Linked DNA regions of Mytilus edulis. The protein of the gene in region 1 interacts with the protein of each later gene in a pairwise test. Links are inferred from orthologs where the notes say so. Each region holds a gene or a part of one and is shown in the gene's direction. Other genes may lie near its edges.

Region 1 (7,925 bases):
TTTGTGCAAAAAACGCCTCCGGTGGCGGGAGTTTCTCCCTGCTTTGAAGATCCATTGGTGGCCGTCGGCTGCTCTTTGGTCGGGTAATTGGTGTCTTCATGACACATTACCCATTTTTATTCTGAATTTTATTCTCAACAATCTAATGAATCAAATACAACACATTCCCAACTGATGTTTACGCGTTGCTCTTATGTTGTTACACCAATGTACTGGTTTATGAGAGGCTTGAGCTCTCACAAACATGTCTAACCTCGCCCACATTCTAAATGAGCCTGTTCTTGGTCTCAGTGAGCCTGTAGTTCAGTGGTTGCCGTTGGTTGCTGTCGATGTCATATTAGTTTGGTTTGGTTTGTATTGTTTTGTAACAAATAAGTCGTTGATCATCTCTTTCCAATATCGTTGCCGTATTTTGTCATGTCAATGTCTTTTATAGCTGACTTAACGGGGTGGGTGTTGTTCATTATTGAAGATCGTACGGTGACCAACATAGGCTTGGACTTAGCATTCACCAAGTTGTAGACCTACATGCAAAGTAACAAAATTAATCCATTAGTTTCTTAGGTCTTTTATTCCTTCCCCCAACTCGTTACGACGAAATGATAATTAAAGTATTAATCCGCAAAATATTCAGATATATAAAGAGTTTTTGAATATATCTCAATATCACCATGCAGTTATTTTGAACAGAGGAAAATTTTAAACTACAAATTTAGAGTAATTTCACCAAGAATCTGGTAGATGCCAGATTATGCCCTGATAAAAGACTATTTTCTACTGTATTTTGCCGCAGTGTAAACATAATTCTAGTGGACAACTAGATAACACCTGGTCTAAATCGCGTAAAAATATTGTATTTGTTTATCCACTCAATGCAATATGGTTAACGACTAATAAAGACACAAGAAGCCAATTATTTAGTACTGAGACTATTATACTAGACTTATAGTATCTGTTATAGTAGTATCAGTTTAAAATTACAGCCTATTACATTGAGTGTGTAGGCAAAGGTGATATCTTTGGTGTTAGCTTGCTTTCTAGCTGAACCGTAGTCATTATAAGTTAAGTATACTACCCTTCTTTCGAAGTAGCCTAGTCCTACAGACAGATAGATTGGTTATCTGTCGGACTAGTCTACTCTTAAAGGAGGGAAGTTTACCGAACTTAATAATAACTTCACGGTTCAGCTAGCAAACAAGCTAACCAAATATATTACCTTTGTCTACACACTCAATGTAATTGGCTGTAAAGAAATATTGATATAATCTCGGTTACCATGTATGTCTCTGCATCAACAAAGTAAATAATGACAACTTCCCTTTTTGCCGACTTTACTAATACCACTGAAATAATGCGCAGAACTGTGTTGTTGTTTTTTTTTATATCTGCAGCAGACTATTTGTTGTATATTGCAGCATGCATGATCATAATCTGTACCTGTGTCACCAGCAAGTCAACAATTTTAGTCAGTTTTATTTGTAAAGACTCAGACGTACTTATAAATATAATTATTTTCTGTGACTGTATCTTACATTAATTTGTAGGATCCTTTACTATAGATAATTGAGCTGATATGTAACAATAACATCTCCATGCCTTATATATCATGTACTGTAGTACGACACTAGATTAAAACTGACGAGGCAAGGTAACACACGGCCACCAAAAGCTTTATTATTGTGAAGCCCCGATAGCCTAGCGGGACGGCTACAGTGCAGGCGATTTGGTGTCACGATATTTCAGTAGCATGGGTTCGAATCCCGGCGAGGGAAGAACAAAAAATTTGAATTTGCTAAAGCAAATTTACAGATCTAACATTGTTGGGTTGATGTTTAGACGAGTTGTAATTGAAAACTACGTTCAAACCTATGACTGCCAGTGGCCGGCGTAGTCAGGGTTGAAATGATGTGGATGTTTCGCCGAGGGGAGCGAGGCGAAATTTTTTTTTTTACCTTTTTATGCAGAAAAATATTTTTTATTTAAGCACATGTACTCCCCCAGAATCCGACACTAGTTAGATTTTTGTTTAAATTCAAAATACCCACCAATTCATATATTTATATTTTTAACCAAATTTTATTGTTTCCTCGAAACTACCATCATTCAATTCATAAATATTTGATGTAAAGTTTCCCACCCAATCTTATATTTGACATATCAAAAACGGACCTCATTACAGCTGCACTTCTGTAAAATTTAGGAACTTCGGAATATAGGAACTGAAGTGACTTCTCTTTCCAGGAATTTGAGTCTACAACCTTGGGTTTTTGGTTTTTGATTACTGAGCTAAACGCGTTGCAGGAGACATAAAAATACCGGGCGTCCGATCGTCTGGTCTTGTTAGCACTCTCATGTGTACAATTTTTGTTAGATTAAATGAATCTCATATCTTAAGCAATGTCTTTGACAATTTGGAAAATAAGTCGTAATCAAATATTTTTAACCAGTTATGGCCCTTTAAAATATAAATTGTAATGGAAATCACATTTCATTTGCTGTGAAGCTTTTATTTCTCTTAAGATATTGAAAAGAAAAAAGTGTTTTTTTAGTTATGCCTTGTTCCTAATTGCCCTTTGATAGATAAAAATATGACATGTAATGTTAAGCTGCTGCTATTTTTATTTTATTTTTGTCAAAATGATGTGGATGCTGAGCATCCGAGCATACATGCAAGCTACGCCACTGAATTTGCGTTGGATAAAAACCGCAATTTTTATACGTGTGCATGTAAAACAAATTGTATTGTTGAAGGGTCTAAATACAGCACAAACAACATTTTCCAAAAGACCAAAAAAGTGAAAAAGTATATTTAAACAAAGGGCATTTGACTAACAGGTCGAACAACTGATGTCCTTTAACCCTGCTGAATGCCATTGGCGATTGCCAAATAAAATTGATCACAAGATCAGGGGCGTAGCTAGAAAGAAACGATGTGCAAGCAACTACCGCCGAGCGGAGCGAGGCGAAAAATTTTTTGGACCCTTTTATGCAGATTTTTTTTTTTCGGTTTTCGGTCATAGGACGGTTAAAAGAGGAGCTACATGTAGAAAGGACTTATAAACAATTTATGAATGAAAACTAATTATTAATCTTCTGAATAGAGTAAATCATGGTAAATTGAATACATAAACAACACATTTTTGTGATACCAAAATTACTCAAAATTGTCCAAAATCTGCTCTTCGGGTCTAGGCAGAAACGAACTTCTCTATTACTTTGTCAATATTAACACTGAATTCCCGATGAATATGCAGTAATGCTAGCGATGATAACCTGTCGTTGTTCATTGTTGATCGTACATTTGCAAGTTTTCAACAGACGTATTACCTTGATATATCTCCACGGTAGCACCCGCGAGGTGTTATAAATCAACGTACGTGTTCGCCATCGAGCGACCTCCCAATTGAATACGTCAAAATTACATGCCAGGTCAGTTTCGTATGTCTCAGAGATTTCTTCGTTTGTTATATTTCCAACAACACAAGGAAGCAGATACGGCGCAAAGAAGCGATTTTCTAATAATACCAGACGCGACTCCACTCTCCAGTTTCATTATCATATGGTCTATGAACGCAAAATATAATGAGACTTTCCAATACTGTTTTGGCGTGTTTGCAGGGTGATTGGGTCTTGTTGTCTGTCGAACACATCGCCTCAGGATCTGATAAATCTAATGCCGATTGGTACATCTCATTCCAAACAGATAAACCGTACTCAGTAAAATGTGCTCCAAAACTACATGTCTTAGACTGAGTATAACAAATTCAAATCTTGTAAAAGATACAAGTTGCTGTCCGATTTTTTCATGATCTCCAATAAAACTTTTATTTTGAAACCAAATGCCGTTATTTAATGACATTTCATTAATCCAAAAATAGTGACAACATATGTGTTTCCTTTAATCATTTAATTTATATTTTTATTTTGCCATATTTTTTTTTGGATGCCGAATCGATGTGCACGCAACTGCGTGTTAGCGTATATGCAGCTACGCGCCTGAAGATGTAACAAAATGGATCTTAATATAAATTTAATACTAAACAGAAAACAATTAACTTGTGGCCATGATGTAATGCCACAAAACTAAGGTGTTTTTTGTACACCAGATCCGGATTTCGACAATAAATGTCTCTTCAGTGATGTTAGGGATCAAAACGGTATTTGGGAGGCCATATAGAATTTGCCCTCATTTTTAGATAGACTCTTGAATTTTAACAGTCAATATAGGATGAACGGATCATATAAACCGGAGAGAAAATATGATACAAGTCCAAACGAAAAAATATAAACTTGAAGTCTGAATTCAAAACTACGTTCAAACCTATGATTGCGTTGGATAAAAAAAAGTTATGATAAAATTTGAAGGCAATTGTTTATAAAAGGTACAATGTTTAAACAAATGTTTTAAACAATGATTCTAAAAGAATAACACCTATTCAATAAAGAAATAATGAAAACATAAAAAAAATATTTAGAAACAGGGGGTATATTTCCCCATATCGCCCGAGACACTATCAGTACACTAAAATCCTTGATTTAAAGTGGAAAGCGGAAACGTAACAACTATATCAAATCGCAAATTTAAACCATCGTATATTTTTTTTCATTTTTTCCACTTGAGACTATATTAGCTATACTTGCAGGTTTAAAATACTTTTGTCTAATCAGTTTTCAGCCCAACAACAATTTTATCGGATTATATAGTGTATTATAATAAACATTTTAAAATGTTTATGATTTGACCATGGTGATATATATTTGAAAATCATTTCAGTTTTAAAATAATATCACAATTCTATGGATATCTTATTTTTTAGTGTTGGTAGTTATCTTGGATTTGATTGGGATTTTGAAATTATGTAGTTTGAGAACGCCCAAATGTTTATCTGACCCCATAATTCGTCGCGCACCTGGTACTTCCGCTATGGAGTAAAGAATCACATCAATACACATCACCTGCTATTTAACGATTAATTACTTGATTAAGCAGTTAATTAAAACCTGCACGGTCTATTAACTCTTAAGGCAGTTAAAGGGAAGCCTACCTGACATGACACTGGCCATCAAATAACTTGTAAGTTTAAGTTTATGCAATGATAATGACAATACCAACTGTTTGGAGCATGCTAAACTTTAAAATGTTTTGCACTTTTCACTTAAAGTGGAAAGACTGCCACTTGTTCCTGGTAAAAAAATAAACTCCCTTTAAAAATTCCTAAAACTAAAGTTTGTATAGTTTTGTTTCGGTACAGAACTTAACTTAAGCAAGTGCCTGTGAGTGAAATTTTGATAGGCAAGTTGTTTTATTAATATTACTATTAAATACATAGTCTAGATTTCATTAATTTTTCCCTAAGTCATATATTTTGTGTAAGTACATACATTTGCATAAATTACATTTCATGATGCTCTCTGTGTGAACAGTTTTCCCTTTAGATAAAATGAAGTGAGGTGATAATGAACAGATGAAGAAGAAAGTTATAAAATTAAAATCCAAACAATGTCATGTAATATATAAAAAAGATAATTATAAATACAAGCATTTAACATTGACTCAATTTTATTATGATTAGACAGGGTAAACATTTCCCAAATTTGCAAAGGAAATAAATCATCTTGCAAAGTTCTCTAACTTCAATTCAGACAATCAATAACCCACATTTCAACGAGGGCTTACATCTCATTTACCTCGGTTTACTGGAAATTCAGGATACTACTTAATGTAGAAGATGGCTTCATATCTTGATCTTTCCTCAAGTTTGATGTCTTCATACTAGAATCTATGACAAACTTAATTAATTCAACTTTCCAGGTGTCAACTCCCCATTTACTAGTACCAACGTTAACGTTATGTTCTGCTCAATCATAATATGTTTGTTATACATCTCAGTTAATATGTTAAACCTTTTCATGTTCACACTATATGGACTTTATTAGTGTCATGTGTGTACTCCTAACACAAAAGGTGTCATACCACCAATTAAAAGTCCCTATCTGTTCAACCAAATTTTGCAATTTTCACAGCTTTCTAAATATTTTACCTTAAGTTTAACTTCATAGAAACCAGGTATATCCTGAATCGTACATGTATCGGCTTTCTACATGCCAATTTTCAACAGATGTTTAAAATCATATAAAAAAGAAAAGGTCTTCGGAATAGAGATACATTGTACCATTAAAAAACCCCTGGTTTTCTGGAAATCTTAAATTAATAGTATACATGTACTATGGAGTGCATTAATCCTCAATTTTGAATGCAAACTCATAAACAAGTAAATTTTAGCTCAAAATGGTCTTAATATATTTCTCTTTCACCAAAAGTTTCATTTCTGCCAATTTATTGGTTAGTTTAAGTAAACTATGACATCAAGTGTACTATTTTTTGTCTGAGTAGGCCTACTTTCACATACGTTCTAAATTGGAGGGAGTAATTGGTGGTGTGACACCAAAAAATGCTACAACAGTATTATGAAATGTATGAGGAAGAACGACTATTGTTTACTAATTAACGAAAGAAAAACAGTAACATTGCTTTACATAAACCTCAGTCGTCTCAGGGACATTTATAAACAAGCTTTGTAAGTAGCCTAGTCATTTGATTATAAGTGTTATGAATGTTGCTTTCTCAACATTTACAAAAATTTTCGCCTTAAAAACTACTTGGCCAAATTTAAACAATACTTGGCCACAGTTGTCATTGGGGTATCAAATTTTAAACTGTCCAATGACCCTGCCTGCCTTAACCAAGGTCCATTCCAACATGGTTAAAAATAGAAGAACAGGGTGAAATGCAAGTTTTAGCTATTGTATTGAAAACCTGCAATCAATAAAGAAAATATGATAGACAACTTTCGAGTTCGGTGCATTTCCGTCAAAAACTTTAGTTTTAGTGAACGTCATTTGTGCGTTTAGGGGCGTCGTCACTTCCATTCCAATGTTGAGCGAGTGGTTGGAAAACTATAATTCTATATTGTACGAATTATTCGGCAAATTGAATTCTCAAAATTGACAATCAGCATTGCTGTCATTAGGGAATTGTCATAATGTACCTACAGAACAACCATTATTTCTAGTTTATCCTGCACAAAGACGATCACTAAGACGCTTGATGAACGTAAATAGTGCAGGGATACAGGCGACCCCCTCTATCTGGTAAATGACGTCATTAAGGCGCGTATAATTGACGAGTTTTTGCCGGTGACGGATGAACTCGAAAGTGGTCTATTGGTAAAAAATGTTCAGAATGTCAAGCTTGACCTATTGTCCATTTATGTCAAAACTGCCAGATGACTTAATGCCCTTAATGACAAAAAGACAAAATTGAAATTGGAAATATGCCAAAAAGACAACAACCCAACCAAAGAGAAGATAACATTAGATAGAATTTTTAAATTTAAAAAATGTTCAACACAACAGGATCTACAAATAAACCAAAAATAGATCTGAAATGTTCGGTCTATTCTTTATAAAATTATCGCCCTTTATTGACGATTACCAAATTTAGCACTTTTGTTTATATCTTAAATAAACTAATAGAAACTTTAAGGAGTAAAAATGATCAGCAAGACAAAATCAACAAAAAAGTCGAAATTGTTACATGAATCCCTATTGAAGTTATTGCCCTTTTGATTTACGTTTTTTTCACATTTTTGCTTGTTATTTTAAAAGTAATAGATAGATACTGTAAATAGCATGAATGATTAGCAAGACAATTTCTACAAATAAGGCTTACATAATTAATCTTCTGTTGACTCATTATTGGAGGTTTTGCCCAGTATTTAATGATAATTTACAATCATGAACAAAAGAAGATAACTGCAAATAAAATTTTAACTTGCAAATTGATTAGTTATTACAATTCAATCTTTTATTTAAAAAATTAACAAAATTGCAAAATAAAAATTATCTTTAGCTTCCTGTGCTTT
Region 2 (7,781 bases), about 1.3 Mb from region 1:
AAGATAACAACTGCCATTTTCCTGACTTGATACAGAACATTTTAAGAGAAAAGAAAATGGGTTGAACCTGGGTTTGTGGCTAGCCAAACCTCGCGCTTTTATGGCAGTGTTAAATATAACATTAAAATGACAAAATTACATGACAGGACTACTTTTTAAATAAATGGGAGAACATATAGGACAGTTTTTTGGGAATATGCACATATCAAATTTCAGTTAAAGTACAACAATGACACAAGGTATAAAGATATTGACAAATATTGTCCCATGTTTAAACTTACGTAAAAGCATGGTATCAACGAATAACTTCTTAAACATTTAAGCAAAAAGTTTTAATGATTTACTTAAAAATCTTACAGATTGGTGGAATTATCTTAATGCTTTTGCTTCATTTTTAAAAAGAATTTGATTATGTCCAAGTACCGACTGGTACTGATGTGCTTCAATACTATCTTTATTAATAATTCTGATCAGCTTACATCCTATTTTCTTGGTAATTCAGATAAACTTCCATCCTATCTTTCTTGTAAATTCCGATGAACTTCCATCCTATCTTTCTTATTAATTCGGAGGAGCTCCCGTCCCATCTGTCTTATTAATTTTGATGAGCTTCCATTCTATCTTTCTTGTTAATTCAGATTCCATCCTATTTTCATTTTTTTTATCCTGATGAGTTTTCATCCTATCATTATTGTTTATTAAGATAACTTCCATCCTAATTTCTTGTTAAATTGGACCCTTGATCTTTTTTTTTTGTGGATTCTGATTGACTTCCATCTCATCATTATTGTTAATTCGGATGAGTTTCCATCTCATCATTATTGTTAATGCGGATGAGTTTCCATCTCATCATTATTGTTAATGCGGATGAGTTTCCATCTCATCATTATTGTTAATGCGGATGAGTTTCCATCTCATCATTATTGTTAATGCGGATGAGTTTTAAACTTATCTTTCATGTTAATTCAGATGAGTTTTCAACCTATTTTATTGTTAATCCAGAGGAGCTTCCAACCTATCTTTATTGTTAATTCGGATGAACTTCCCTCCTATCGTTATTATCAATTATGTTGTGCCTCCATCCCATTTTTTTTAAAGAAATTAAAATGAGCTTTGAACCTATCTTTATTGTTAATTCGGATGAGTTTTCAACATATCTTTCTTATAAATTCAGATGATTTTTCAAACTATCTTTATTGTTAATCCAGATGAGCTTTCGTCCTATCTTTATTGTCAATTTTGATGAGCTTTCTTGTGACTTTTTTTTTATAATTCTGATTTACTTTCATTTGATCTTTATTTTAAATTCGGATAAGCTTTCATCTTATCTGTATTTGTTTATTCGGATGTTTTTCCTTCCTTCCTGTCTTTCTTATTTATTCAGACCAGCTTCGATTCTATCTGTCTTGTTAATTTAGATAAGCTTTCACCCTATCTATCTAGTAACTTCGGATGTGCTTCCATTTTATCTTTTTGGTAAATTCGGATGTGCTTCCACACTATCAGTTTTGTTTATTCTGGTGGACGTTCATTTGTTAGTTCGGATGACACCGGTGTCATAAGGTTTATCGATAAAATTTATCGTGAAAGGATAACTAATGGTGGTAAAGCATTGCAATTGAATCGTGAAAGATCTGGTATTGGATCGTGTTATTTCTGCTTCTGTGAAAAAAGTGCTGTATTTTCAAAAGCTGGAAGAAATCAGAAAAAAAAGTCTGTCAAAACGATTTAACTTGCTTAATAATACTGCGCAATAAGTTAAAGACAAGTTGCAGTACTTGTTTAAGATAACACAAGATGACATACAATCCTGTAAGAATCATTAAGAAAATATCACGTTTTGGATCTAAAATGGTCGCATTTCAATATATAATGATATATTTGAAAGGTGAAAAATAATATTCAATGTGTTTCAGAAAGTCAAGTTAAATAGAACTATATTATTACTTAGCAAAAAGGTTCATATTATTTTTGAAAAAGCTTAACGATGCGTGACCTGACTCAATAATCAGAAAACAACATTTCTTTTACCAATAGACATACACGTACTACGGGGCGCCGAATGGGACTCTTGTGGTTTTGTACTCAAAATTCAATTTTGTACGGACAAAAGTGACTTTTGTTCAACAAAAATAAGTTCAGTTTAACAAAATTTGTATCATACTACAAATTTAAAATTTTGTCATACAAAATTATCTATCAGCGGACAAAAGTCACTTTTGTCATGACAAAATTCATTTTTGTTACACAGACTTGAATTTTGTTACCTAATTTGAAAATTGGGTGACAAAAGTCAATTTTGTATTCAAATTAGTTTAGTTTGGTTTCTGTGAACTAATTTGCATACAAAATCGACTTTTGTTACACAAAATTGACAAAAATGAATTTTGTCTCAACAAAATTGACAAAATTGACTTTTGTCTCAACAAAATTGACAAAATTGAATTTTGTCTCAACAAAATTGACAAAATTGACTTTTGTCTCAACAAAATTGACAAAATTGACTTTTGTCTCAACAAAATTGACAAAATTGACTTTTGTCTCAACAAAATTGACAAAATTGACTTTTGTGAGACAAAATTGACAAAATTGACTTTTGTCTCAACAAAATTGACAAAATTGACTTTTGTCTCAACAAAATTGACAAAATTGACTTTTGTCTCAACAAAATTGACAAAATTGACTTTTGTCTCAACAAAATTGACAAAATTGACTTTTGTCTCAACAAAATTGATTTTTGTCTCACGAAAGTCAATTTTGTCACATAAAAGTCAATTTTGTTGTTACAAAATTGAATTTTGTCGTCACAAAAATGAATTTTGTCGTCACAAAATTGACTTTTGTCTCAACAAAATTGACAAAATTGACTTTTGTCTCAACAAAATTAACAAAATTGACTTTTGTCTCAACAAAATTAACAAAATTCACTTTTGTCTCAACAAAATTAACAAAATTGACTTTTGTCTCAACAAAATTGATTTTTGTCTCAACAAAATTGACAGAATTGACTTTTGTCTCAACAAAATTAACAAAATTGACTTTTATCTCAACAAAATTGACAAAATTGAATTTTGTCTCACAAAAGTCAATTTTGTCTCACAAAAGTCAATTTTGTCTCACAAAAGTTAATTTTGTCTCACAAAAGTTAATTTTGTCTCACAAAAGTTAATTTTGTCTCACAAAAGTCAATTTTGTCTCACAAAATTGAATCTTACCTCACACAATTGACTTTTGTGATTTAATTTCCATATCAGGTAACAAAAGTCAATTTTGTATGCAAATATGTTTATATTTGCATACCTTTTAGACAAAATTGACTTTTGTCATGACAAATATGAATTTTGTCTACAAAAATGAATTTTGTCATGACAAAAATGAATTTTGTCTACACAAATGAATTTTGTCATCACAAAATTGAAGTTCTCACAAAACAAGTCTGTAGCACATAGTTTTGTAAGACAAAAATGATTTTGTTATGACAGAATTGAATTTTGTACAAAACCACAAGAGTCCCATTCGGCGCCCCGTACGTACTTGTAATAGGTAAAAGCGTGTTATTATTTTTCATCTAATAAGAAAACGAAACTCATCCATATTAACAATAAAGATAGGATAGAAGCACATCTGAATAAACAAGAAAGATAAGATGAAAGCTCATCTGAAGAAAAAAAACCAGAAAGATAAGATGGAAGCTCATCGAAATTAACAAGAAAATAGGATGGAAACTCAACCATATTAACAAGAAAGCTGGATGACAGCTCATCCGAATTAACAAGTAAATAAGATGGAAGCTCATCTGAAATTACAAAAAAGATAGCAAGCAAGCTCATCCAAATAAACAAGAAAATAGGATGGAAACTTTTCCATATTAACAGGAAAGATCCGATAAAAGCTCATCAGAATTAACAAGAAAGATACATATTGGCAATCCTCTATTTTTAAAATAAACTAATTGTACAGTGGGACTTTGGTGAAAAGGCGCCCTTTTTGTACACAGTTTCAATGCCAAGATATATAGGGAAGTGTTATTTTTTTATCCTTTTATGACGTTACATAAAATCATTTGAAAATTTAACTTCATAAATTAAACAGTTGTAATAAGCAATAGAAAGGAAATTGCATCTTGATTGATGGTCATAATTTTATTCAGTATTGTTATCGTGTTTAGTGTTTCCTGTTAAAGTGAATAGGGATAACTTATTTTTTGGAACTGGATTCATAGAAAAATATACTGAAAAATTCAAGTAAAAACAACTTCTACATTTGATTAATATTGAATTTTCCGAGCAAACTGCTATTTAAAAAGACAAATTATATGTTCTACAAAAAACGAATGGTGCAATTTAAATGAACCAGTTAAATCATACAAATTAGTAAATCAATAGTTAACCAAACAAAGCAAGTCTAACATACACCTTTACCTTCATGAATAAATAATTGAATATAGCTTCTGTAAATCGATTAAACAATCTCGCGCAAATGATCGTTTTGCAGTCTCCAATAATAATTGATTCAATCATGCAAATATTTTAAAATCATATTTTTAAAACTCCCTTTACATCTAAATTTTGCATTGATTGAAAGAATTGATAAAAATTGCCTAGACTTTTATCAGAAACGGTTACGGGTGTGCGACAATAACAATATAGGCGACGTTACCATAACAACTAACATCATATTATTGTAGAATGGCTGCGAATTAGCAGTATCAAACGAACTTGTCAGGTGCTTCGTCACCTGTGCGACACATGCGCAATAATAACAAAATGGTTATTAATTATTAAACCGATTTGACCATGTACATAATATCGAAAATTAAAATAAACATGACTTAGACATGTTAGGAAAAAATGTTTTTTGGACCAGAATGTTCTTTTGAACCAACTGAAAACGGAAATTTTATTAACAGTTGACAAATATGGAATTATGGGTTAATTTGTGTACAAAATTTTCTATTGTTCATTGTTTTCTTCATTATCCATAAAAATGCCAGGTGCAAGGAGGGGCCTTGTGGCTCCACAAAATACGTTTTTGGAAAACATTATTCGGCGATCCAATGGACAGCGTAAGTTAAAAAACACACGTAGTCTGTCTTTCTTTTGGTGTTTTTCTCTTTTCAATTATATTGTATCTAGTTGTTGTGATCTTTGTTGTTTATTAAGACCTTTTTTTGGTATATTTGTATTTATTCCATTGACGTTATTTACTGTTCTTCTGGACACGTGTATACGGAATTGAAAAGGAGCAGATAGAACCTTTAAACATCACGATCCGTTTTCATTTGAGGGAGACAACATAACACACTTTGGATAAAGATACCGTGTCTGTCGGCTTTTATTTGGTAATAAAAATGTTGTCAAATATTTAGTTAAAATTAAAATAATTTAAGTGATTCAAATTGACTTGAGATATATTTTTTATAATATATTTTCTGTAACGAAGAACACACATGTGAATCTGATAAATAATGAAACAGTACATACATTTGAAGCGGAGACATATATTTCTGGTTAGAGCATGTTCATTTTCAAATAGCTGATTTCATCGAAATAGACGGATAAAGATATTCCGAATGAAATTGAACCTTAAGAAAGTGTTTCAAGTAAAAAGTACAAACATCTATCGAATTCGAAATTATCTTTAGATTGTAAACGATTGGCTTAATAATTAGTAAAGAAGAAAAAAGTAACGAGAGAAAGAGGGAATTTTGAAAAAAAAGTTTCATAAATGTATACTGCAATACCAATATGACCAGTAAGTCATACAGCACAACACAATTTCCTAATGAAAATTTGTAGGAATAATGTTTCAAAAAGTGTTTATAATGTCGACTTTAAAGTTTTACAAGTATGTTTTACCTGTTGGTGACCTTCTGCTGTTGTCTGTTCTATGGTCGGGTTGTTGTCTCTTTGACACATTCCCCATTTCCATTAATCGATATTTAAGTAAAACAATACTTGAAGATTTAACTTATTACAATTCTAAAGACAACACAACCGAACCTACTGTTATCTAGAAGTATACATGTGATAACCGTCTTATTTCTTTCTCTCATACGGTTTAAACCATCAATCATAATCCCTGTTCTTTCCCTTCCTTCTCTCCTTTCATGCTGTTTAAATCATCAACCATAATCGTTGGGTTTCCTTCTTTCTCTCCTTTCATGCTGTTTAAACCATCAACCATAATCGTTAGGTTTACCTTCTTTCTCTCCTTTCATGCTGTTTAAATCATCAACCATAATCGTTGGGTTTCCTTCTTTCTCTCCTTTCATGCTGTTTAAACCATCAACCATAATCGTTAGGTTCCCTTCTTTCTCTCATTTCATACTGTTTAAATCATCAACCATAATCGTTGGGTTTCCTTCTTTCTCTCCTTTCATGATGTTTAAATCATCAACTATAATCGTTGGGTTTCCCTTCTTTCTCTCCTTTCATACTGTTTAAATCATCAACCATAATCGTTGGGTTTCCCTTCTTTCTCTCATTTCATACGGTTTAAATCATCAACTATAATCGTTGGGTTTCCCTTCTTTCTCTCCTTTCATACTGTTTAAATCATCAACCATAATCGTTGGGTTTCCCTTCTTTCTCTCATTTCATACTGTTTAAATCATCAACAATAATCGTTGGGTTTCCTTCTTTCTCTCATTTCATGCTGTTTAAATCATCAACCATAATCGTTGGGTTTTCCTTCTTTCTCTCATTTCATACTGTTTAAATCATTAACCATAATCGTAGGGTTTCCATTCTTTCTCTCCTTTCATACTGTTTAAATCATCAACCATAATCGTTGGGGTTTTCCTTCTTTCTCTCCTTTCATACTGTTTAAACCATCAACCATAATCGTTGGGTTTCCTTCTTTCTCTCCTTTCATACTGTTTAAACCATCAACTATAATCGTTGAATTTCCCTTCTTTCTCTCCTTTCATACGGTTTAAATCATCAACCATAATCGTAGGGTTTCCCTTCTTTCTCTCCTTTCATACTGTTTAAATCATCAACCATAATCGTTGGGTTTCCCTTCTTTCTCTCCTTTCATACTGTTTAAACCATCAACCATAATCGTTGGGTTTCCTTCCTTCTCTCCTTTCATACTGTTTAAATCATCAACCATAATCGTTGGGTTTCCCTTCTTTCTCTCCTTTCATACTGTTTAAATCATCAACCATAATCGTTGGGTTTCCCTTCTTTCTCTTCTTTCATACGGTTTAAATCATCAACCATAATCGTTGGGTTTCCCTTCTTTCTCTCCTTTCATACGGTTTAAATCATCAACCATAATCGTAGGGTTTCCTTCTTTCTCTCATTTCATGCTGTTCAAATCATCAACAATAATGGTTGGGTTTCCCTTCTTTCTCTCATTTCATACTGTTTAAATCATCAACCATAATCGTTGGTTTTTAACGTCTTCCTCTCATTTCATACTGTTTGAAACGCCAATCATAATCGTTAAGGTTTGTTCCGAAAAGGGATCTAAAATCGTATCTTATAAACTAGCTCTTTTTTTAGTGTCATAGATAACATTTATTCGTTTAGTGTATGTTTTGATTTAAAACATGGTATATGCTGTTTGAATTATCTCTCAACAAGCATCAGTAATGCCACCAAAATTTATCAAAAATAAAATGTCCATCATTACAGTACAAACCTTACGTATCTATTGTTAACCTGTTCTCGTCGTGAACATGTGTGAAATATTTGCCACTGGACGTTAAGCAAAACACATCAAATTTATTGACCATTAACCTGGTCAAATCAGCCACTCTAAATTCGCCTCAA
Region 3 (7,914 bases), on another chromosome or scaffold:
ATTAAAATTCAAAAAGGTCGGCTATTGGTTGACAAATAGACCTACATTGGTTTTGGTTCATTACATTGGCGATGAGACGATATATACACCTATGGCACATGGTAATAGCAAACATGATGGTGAGTTCAAAAGAACAATGCCATCAGTAATTGATAAGGTAAAGGACCATGTAGGTAGTGAGGGTGCCAAAAAATTATATAGGACTATGGTATGTTCTGAACAAGTCGAGGGTAACATGCAAGGTGTAGCTAATCCTAGGAATAGCAAACAGGTAAAGAATGCACTTCAGAAGCGGCGAGGTGATCAGTTATTGAGTAGAGATGATTTATATATTTTTTTTCAGCTATCTTCCCATTTAGATGGGTTCGTGAAACAGTTAACACTTTACCCAGATTTAGTGGCTGTTGTAAGCTTACCAGAAATCATCACTCAATTTAACCAACTCTTAGATGTTAAATCTGATGAACAGCTTTATTTATCTTATGACACCACATTCAACCTAGGTGATTGTTACGTTTCGGCCATAGTATTTAAACATATTCTTTTCAAAGAGACACCTCTTATTCCTTTGGCTTTTGTTATTCATGATAGAAAATTTGGAAGTGTTCACGAGACTTTATTTAACTTTTTGAAATTTGCTGTTCCGAAAATTTCCAAAAAAAGAATTCCCATTGTAGTGGACAGAGAAGCTGGTATACGAAAAGCTATTAAAAATATTTTGCCTGATTGTCCTATACTTACATGCTGGAATCATTTACGAAACGATTTTAAGTACTGGTTGAATAAAAAAAAAGTTTCTCCTGATAATATCAGGCTATATCATCATCAGTTAAAACAGATGCTTCAATGTGACTCTGAGAATGAATTCTTAGAGCTTTCCAAAGATCTGACATCTAAATGGACATCCGAAGTTGTGTCATATTTTGAAAAAGAGCTAAAAACTGATATTTTAGAGAGATCAGGAAAATGGGTTTTAGAACAGTTTGAAGGTTTATATGACCCATACTCAGGTATCACAAACAATCTGTCAGAAAGTTATAACGCTGTTTTAAAACAAGAAAACGATTGGAAAGAGTTACCAGTTGATATGCTTGCTTTGGGTTTTCATTTTCTACAAAATTTTGATCACTACGAGATTCTTAGAGGTTTGGCAGGTGTTGGGGACTATCATTTAAAAACAGAGTTTTCGAGGGCAAAAATTGACATACACGATTTGTTCATACCTAAGAAACTCATAGCACCATCCGATATAATTTCGTACCTGAAAACAGCACACATAAATACACCACAGTTGTCGTCTCCGTCTGCTGAAACGACAGAAACAGTGGAAGATCTATCCGATTCTAAAACTGAACATAGTACACCCACCACACCAAAAGAAAAAGACACTCCAGTCATTAATACTATGTTTGACTTTCCTGCTTTTGTTAGTAGTCAGCACGCTTTGGCAAAGTATATAGTTGACAACAACCTAATCACACTTGTTCCATCTCAAGCAGCTTTCATTGTTCAAGGTCGAAATGGTAAGTATTGTGTCACTTTATTTCCGAAGGAAACTTGTCAGTGTCCATCTACTACTACATGCTTTCATATCCTTGCAGCAAAAATGAGCATTGGTCAAGAACCCATTGAAAAAAGACCAGTAGTTAGTCTAAGAGTTTTAACAAAAAATAACAGAAAGAGAGTTGACAAAAAATCAGGAAAAAAACAACCTAGGCAAAACGATTACGATCCTGTTGTAGAACCAGCTCCAGACTCGGCTTATTTAGTCAACACACCAAAAACACCTTCACAAGTACATTCAACACAGAAATCACCACAGAAATCAGCATTAAAAACAAAATCAAAAACACCACATTCTAAAAAGAAACTTCACTTTAATTTGGAGACTGTTAGCGAGGAAGAAATTGATACATGTCCTATTTCACCAGACGAAAAAAAGGATAACATAATTACATTAGATGACACACCACCAGGTCAAAAAGAGAAAACTTGACTTTCCATCTCCGCCAATTTCGATTGAAATTGAACAGGAAAAAAAAACAACCATGGATAGGTACACTTACACAAGTAGACAAAAAAACTATTTCAGATAGTAAGTGCTTAACTTCCGACATTGTTAATTATGCACAAAACATTCTTTCAAAACAGTTTCCATTAATCCATGGTTTTCAGAACACATGTTATGCTCCAGTTTTCTGTAATCAACAAAAAAAATGGCTTTCTGAGACAAGTTTTACACCTACACAGGCTCCAGCTGTACAAATTCACCATACAGGGCATTCACACTGGGTCACTTCTTTAACCAAACAATCAAATGAAGTCTATCTATTGGACAGCGTGTATGACACACTTACAACATCTTCAGAAATACAGCTTTCACAAATATATTCACATGGTAAAAAAAGGCTTTTGGTCAAGTTACCAGAAGTTCAGAAACAAACTAATTCCATAGATTGTGGGTTGTTTGCAATTGCAAATGCTGTAGAATTTTGTTTTACAAGTTTTTCAGGTGGGATACATGTAGAATTTGACACTGAACTTTTAAGAGAACATCTTGTGATTTGTTTGGAAAAAGGTGAATTTATTCCATTTCCAAAAAAAAAAATTAGCATGAAAGGTAAACCGAAATATAAAACCAGTGTTGTAGAATGTAACTGTGAGTGTGGAAAATGTGATTCAGTAGAAGACATGTTAGGATGTGAATGGCAAAAAGGTGTTAAAAAATGCAACAGTTGGAAATAGTTATCAAAAGTACCAGGATTATAATTTTATACGCCAGACGCGCGTTTCGTCTACATAAGACTCATCGGTGACGCTCAGATCAAAATAGTTAAAAAGCCAAACAAATACAAAGTTGAAGAGCATTGATGACCCAAAATTCCAAAAAGTTGTGCCAAATACGGCTAAGGTAATCTACTCCTGGGGTAAGAAAATCCTTAGTTTTTCGAATAATTCAAAGTTTTGTAAACAGAAAATTTATAAAAATGACCATATAATTGATATTCATGTCAACACCGAAGTGTTGACTACTGGGCTGGTGATACCCTCGGGGACGAAACGTCCACCAGCAGTGGCATCGACCCAGTGGTGTAAATAGTTATCAAAAGTACCAGGATTATAATTTTATACGCCAGACGCGCGTTTCGTCTACATAAGACTCATCGGTGACGCTCAGATCAAAATAGTTAAAAAGCCAAACAAATACAAAGTTGAAGAGCATTGATGACCCAAAATTCCAAAAAGTTGTGCCAAATACGGCTAAGGTAATCTACTCCTGGGGTAAGAAAATCCTTAGTTTTTCGAATAATTCAAAGTTTTGTAAACAGAAAATTTATAAAAATGACCATATAATGGAAACACTTTTCATGTACCGGATTAAAAGATGGTGACACATTCCTTTGCTCTAAACACATTACTAATTAGTGAATAAACACCTTTGATGATTTGACACCAATCAGTGACTTTGAAGTTTTTATTACTGTCAAAACTTAATTTGGGATATTATAGTTTTTATTTTATTTGGTTTTTATTGTTTTGCATGATTATTTATTTTATATATATGTATGTGTATAATTGAAATGTTTTTGATTAATAAAATATAAGCCCATGCCCTTTCAACGATATGTCTGCTGCCTTTAATAAATAAATCTGAAAATAGATCAAATTATTCAACATAGCAAATAAGTAAATATTATTTAAATAAACACACAGATAATTGTATTTTCTTTCTTTCATATTTCCATAAAGCTGAATATTCGAACTTTCCTATAAACATGATTGTTCCTGCCAGACATTAATTTTGAAGAAAAGATTAATTTGATTTTAAGCGAATTTCTACCAATTTTTTTACGCATAAGGCAACTGTCCTGGCAGATTTTTTTTATGTTAATGAAATAAAAGTCCATATTTTTTTATATTTTCTGGAAGCTTATACTCTAAACTTTACAATGCACCTACTTTTGTTTACCAGACATTTATTTTGAAGAAGATATTAAACTTTATATTATGACCTTAGACTAATTTCAACAAAATTTCTGACGTAATAGTCTACTGTCCCGGCAGATTTTCCTACCTTTAAAAGACGAAAAAAATATTGAATTGTAGATTTTAGAAATAAAAGTTTGTTAAACTTTATTATCATACAAAAATAATATGCCAGACAGTTGATTTGGAGAATTTATTTCAATTATAAGTAAAAAATTCTCGGCAATTTCAGCCGTTTTTAGCTTAAAATTTAATGGAGTAGGCTACTGTCCTGGCAGATTTTTTTTACGTTAATGACATAAAAATTCATATAATTTTATATTATCATAAAGCGTATATTCTAAACTTTCCAATGAACTAACATTTGTTTACCAGACATTTATTTTGAAGAAGATATTCAACTTTATATTTTGATCCTGAACTAATTTCAACAAACTTTCTAATGTAAAAGTCTACTGTCCTGGCAGATTTTTTTACCTTTAAGAGATGGAAAAAAAATAAAATTATAGATTTTTATAATTGATATTCCATAAACTTTACAATCGTACCAAAATATTATGCCAGACAGTTGTTTTGGAGAAAATATTCCAATTATAAGTAAACTTTTCACGGCAATTTCAGCCATTTTTTTCTTAAAATATAACTGTCCTGGCAGATTTTTTCTTACTTCTTAATTTTTTTTATATGTTTTTTTTATTAATAATGTTAGTAAATACTTTCTTCTTTATTATACAATTAAAATTTTAACCATGTGTTGAGTAAAACAAAAGTTACAGATAAAAACGTATCGAAAAAAAGTGTCCTGGTTTTATCTGTCCTGTTAATAGACCTTCCCTCCAAGGGGAAACAACTGCAACCAGGAAGTCATGGCGTCGATAAATGTTGAACCGCTTCATTTAGAAAAAGGTAAATTACGATATCAAAGCATATGTTGCAATGATAAACATTGTGTAGAGCGAAACAGAAAAAAAAAGCCTTTTACACCTTTGAAAGATATTTAACGTTTTTGGTTTTGTGTAACTAACTAACTAACTAACTAATTTTATTCAGTATAGAGGGGGGGCAAGGGGGTCCCAATAACAGCAAAACAGCAAATTGATTTGGCTCATAACAGATAACAAGGAATTAAAATGGACAAAAACAGATAACAGTAAATGAAATATTAAAATAATTCGGTCTTTGACAAATCAGTATTTCTTATTGCGGATATAATCCTTTGTAATGCGTTCCATTTTTTATGACTATGTTTTTAGTATTAATTTATGTAACTAGAATGTGTTTAAATTACTCCTCAAATAATATTTTTTATACGCTCGTTTACAGAACGTATTATGGTATACTGTTGTCCGTCTGTTGTCAACATGTCGGACATTAACTCAAAAACTCTTTAACCATTTGCATTAAACTTTGGGAAATTGTTTATATCTATTGACGTGAGCTCCCTTTTTTTTTTCTTTTTTTTTTTTTATAAATTTTAGATTTTAAGTTTCTGGATAATGGGTTTTTATTCAATAAAATTGGTGGTTTTTTTTCAGTCTTCTGATAATATCTCAAAAATGCTTTCACAAAGCAAGGAATTTTGTTGAATTAACATGAGGTAACTTTCAATTTTTATAAATTTTAGATTTTACGTTTCCGAGTTAACGGGTTTTATTAATTAAAAAGGGGTGATTTTCCAGTTTTCAGACATTAACTCAAAAATGTTTTCAGCAGTTCTCATGAATTGTTGGTGTATTGTTTATATATATTGACTGAAGCTCCCTTTGTTGCTAATCAAAAAAGTGACCTAAAAGAGTTTGAATATTCTGAATTTTTCTAAATGACCATTTAATGAGGTGTGTGATTTTTTCTTAATAAAACTATGAGGCGAAGTGGTATATAGAGTAGAAAAATCAAAAGCACCAATTATAAGCATGCAATTTATCAAGTACTTCGAACGAATTTTGACACTCTAAAAGCAATTAATTCCACTATTTTCAAAGGCCTTTTTTGAACAATTTTTTATCAGCTGAGGTTTTTGATTGTACCAAGTGTACTAGTAAGTAGAATACATAGTTTAGTAGGGAAACAATGGCTTGAAACGAAATAAATCTTTGTTTGTAATGAGTTATGTGCAGCTTCGGACCCAAGTACATGGTTGGAACTTTCATTGTACAATGCATTTGGTTCTGCTTTGAAAAGAATCACAGAGCTGAGTCTATGTACAATATTATATAAAAGGTTAAGTGGTTGTTAGGACCTAGTCCTTAATTGAGATCCTTGTCAGATATTCCTGGCCATATGTTTTCCTTTTTGTCATATTAAAAATTGTTTTAATTTAATATGTTCGTACGGAAAACAAGGAACATTATTCTCATACAAAAAATTAAGATAATTCTAAATACACATTCATAAAAAAAATGGAATTTATTACAAAGGATAATCATAATTGTCCTGGACCTCACTTCTGTGATGGGTATATGTTAATGGAATCCTTCTCTGAATACGGGACAAACATATTAGTAGTGGTAGACCCCAATGGCCAATGATCTTCAATTTATACCGAATATTGACTGTCAAAAAAAATGCTAACATTCCAATTTTCAATAACAGTTAACAGCAAATACATTATCACAATAACAGATAACAAAAAAACTAAAAGCCCAATAACAGCTAACAAAGAATAAGACAATAACAGCTAACAGCAAATATATTTTCAAAATAACAGATAACAAAGAATAAAATTGCCCCATAACAGCATAACAGTTAAACCCCTTGCCCCCACCCCCCCCCCCACCCCCACCCCCACCCCCAGTATAAAATCCAGTACAAAAGGATCATTGCTGAAACACATAAACACATATAAAAAACATATACAAAACAAAAATAAAACATAACAGACAACAATTTTGACACTTATAACAAGCAAAAGACAAAACTCACATTTCAATATTATGCAATTATTCCCACTGATGAATGTCTAATCAAAATACATTTGTCTATATATATAAGAAAACTGGTGAGAACATCAGTCTCCGAACAGTTCATTAAATATTTAAATTTATCAAAATTATCTAAATTGCAAAAACATGGTATAATATTAACAATGTCATCATAAAACATTTCCCTCTCCTCGTGATAGAGGTTGCATTCACATATATATGAAATGAAACTCATCTTCAATTTTGTTATCAATACAATGTGTACATATTCTTTGATCCAAAGGCGTTTTATTATATCTGCCTTTTTCAATGTGTAAACTGTGGTTAGAAATTCTTAATTTACATAATTGTCTAACATATTGTTTTGGGATATTTAACTTTGTATAAGTCTCAGGTTTATATTCCTCTTTTAACTTGTAATATGTTCGTAGTTTGTTTTGCTTTTCATCTGACAAACATGAGAAAAAGTAATTTCCATATCTTTCTTGTAATATCTTTTTCACTGCAGATATAAGTTTTCCTTCTGACATAGTTCCTTTATTATTCCAAACATGGTCAAAATTAATTAATTTTAGAAACTTAAAAATGTGTTTATTGAAGGTACATGGAAAGGTACAATCAACTTTTTTGATTGACTTATATGCTAATTTTGAAAAATTCAAAAGAGGGTCTTTATACAAATATAGCCAGTATTTAAGAGATTGCAAAATAACAAATATAGAGATTGGATAACGACCAAGTTCTGCCATACTGGCAATATTAGGAGCATATTTAGTGGCACCAAGTACATATTTACAATATCGAATGTGAACCTTTTCAGGAGCAAAATTTAAAAAAGTTTTTTCTAAATCATCATTTGAACCTTGTGTTAATCTTTTGTCCAGGTTAAGAATGTACGGACCCCACAATTCACTTCCATAGAGAAGGACTGGTTTTACACAGGAGTCAAAAAGTTTTAAAAGCAAAGGTGTATTATTATGTGTACAGTGAAATTTACGTTTAATCA

The links.
Region 2: the proteins of peripheral plasma membrane protein CASK-like (region 1) and voltage-gated delayed rectifier potassium channel KCNH1-like interact in binary tests that used the Drosophila melanogaster proteins (3 or more experiments, as listed by UniProt). The link is inferred for Mytilus edulis from reciprocal best matches to the Drosophila melanogaster genes CASK and eag.
Region 3: the proteins of peripheral plasma membrane protein CASK-like (region 1) and protein lin-7 homolog C-like interact in a two-hybrid assay, tested with the Drosophila melanogaster proteins (2 studies listed by BioGRID). The link is inferred for Mytilus edulis from reciprocal best matches to the Drosophila melanogaster genes CASK and veli.

The regions. Positions count from the first base shown.
Region 1 is NC_092346.1:104,008,489-104,016,413, reverse strand, and holds the start of peripheral plasma membrane protein CASK-like, read left to right. Parts: upstream 1-4,903; 5' UTR 4,904-5,074; intron 5,075-7,925.
Region 2 is NC_092346.1:102,702,179-102,709,959, forward strand, and holds the start of voltage-gated delayed rectifier potassium channel KCNH1-like, read left to right. Parts: upstream 1-4,675; 5' UTR 4,676-4,986; coding exon 4,987-5,065; intron 5,066-7,781. UniProt on the Drosophila melanogaster protein: Structural component of a potassium channel. Mediates the potassium permeability of membranes; potassium current is regulated by CaMKII and CASK. Has a role in growth of the perineurial glial layer of the larval peripheral nerve.
Region 3 is NC_092350.1:93,079,411-93,087,324, forward strand, and holds the start of protein lin-7 homolog C-like, read left to right. Parts: upstream 1-4,820; 5' UTR 4,821-4,853; coding exon 4,854-4,893; intron 4,894-7,914.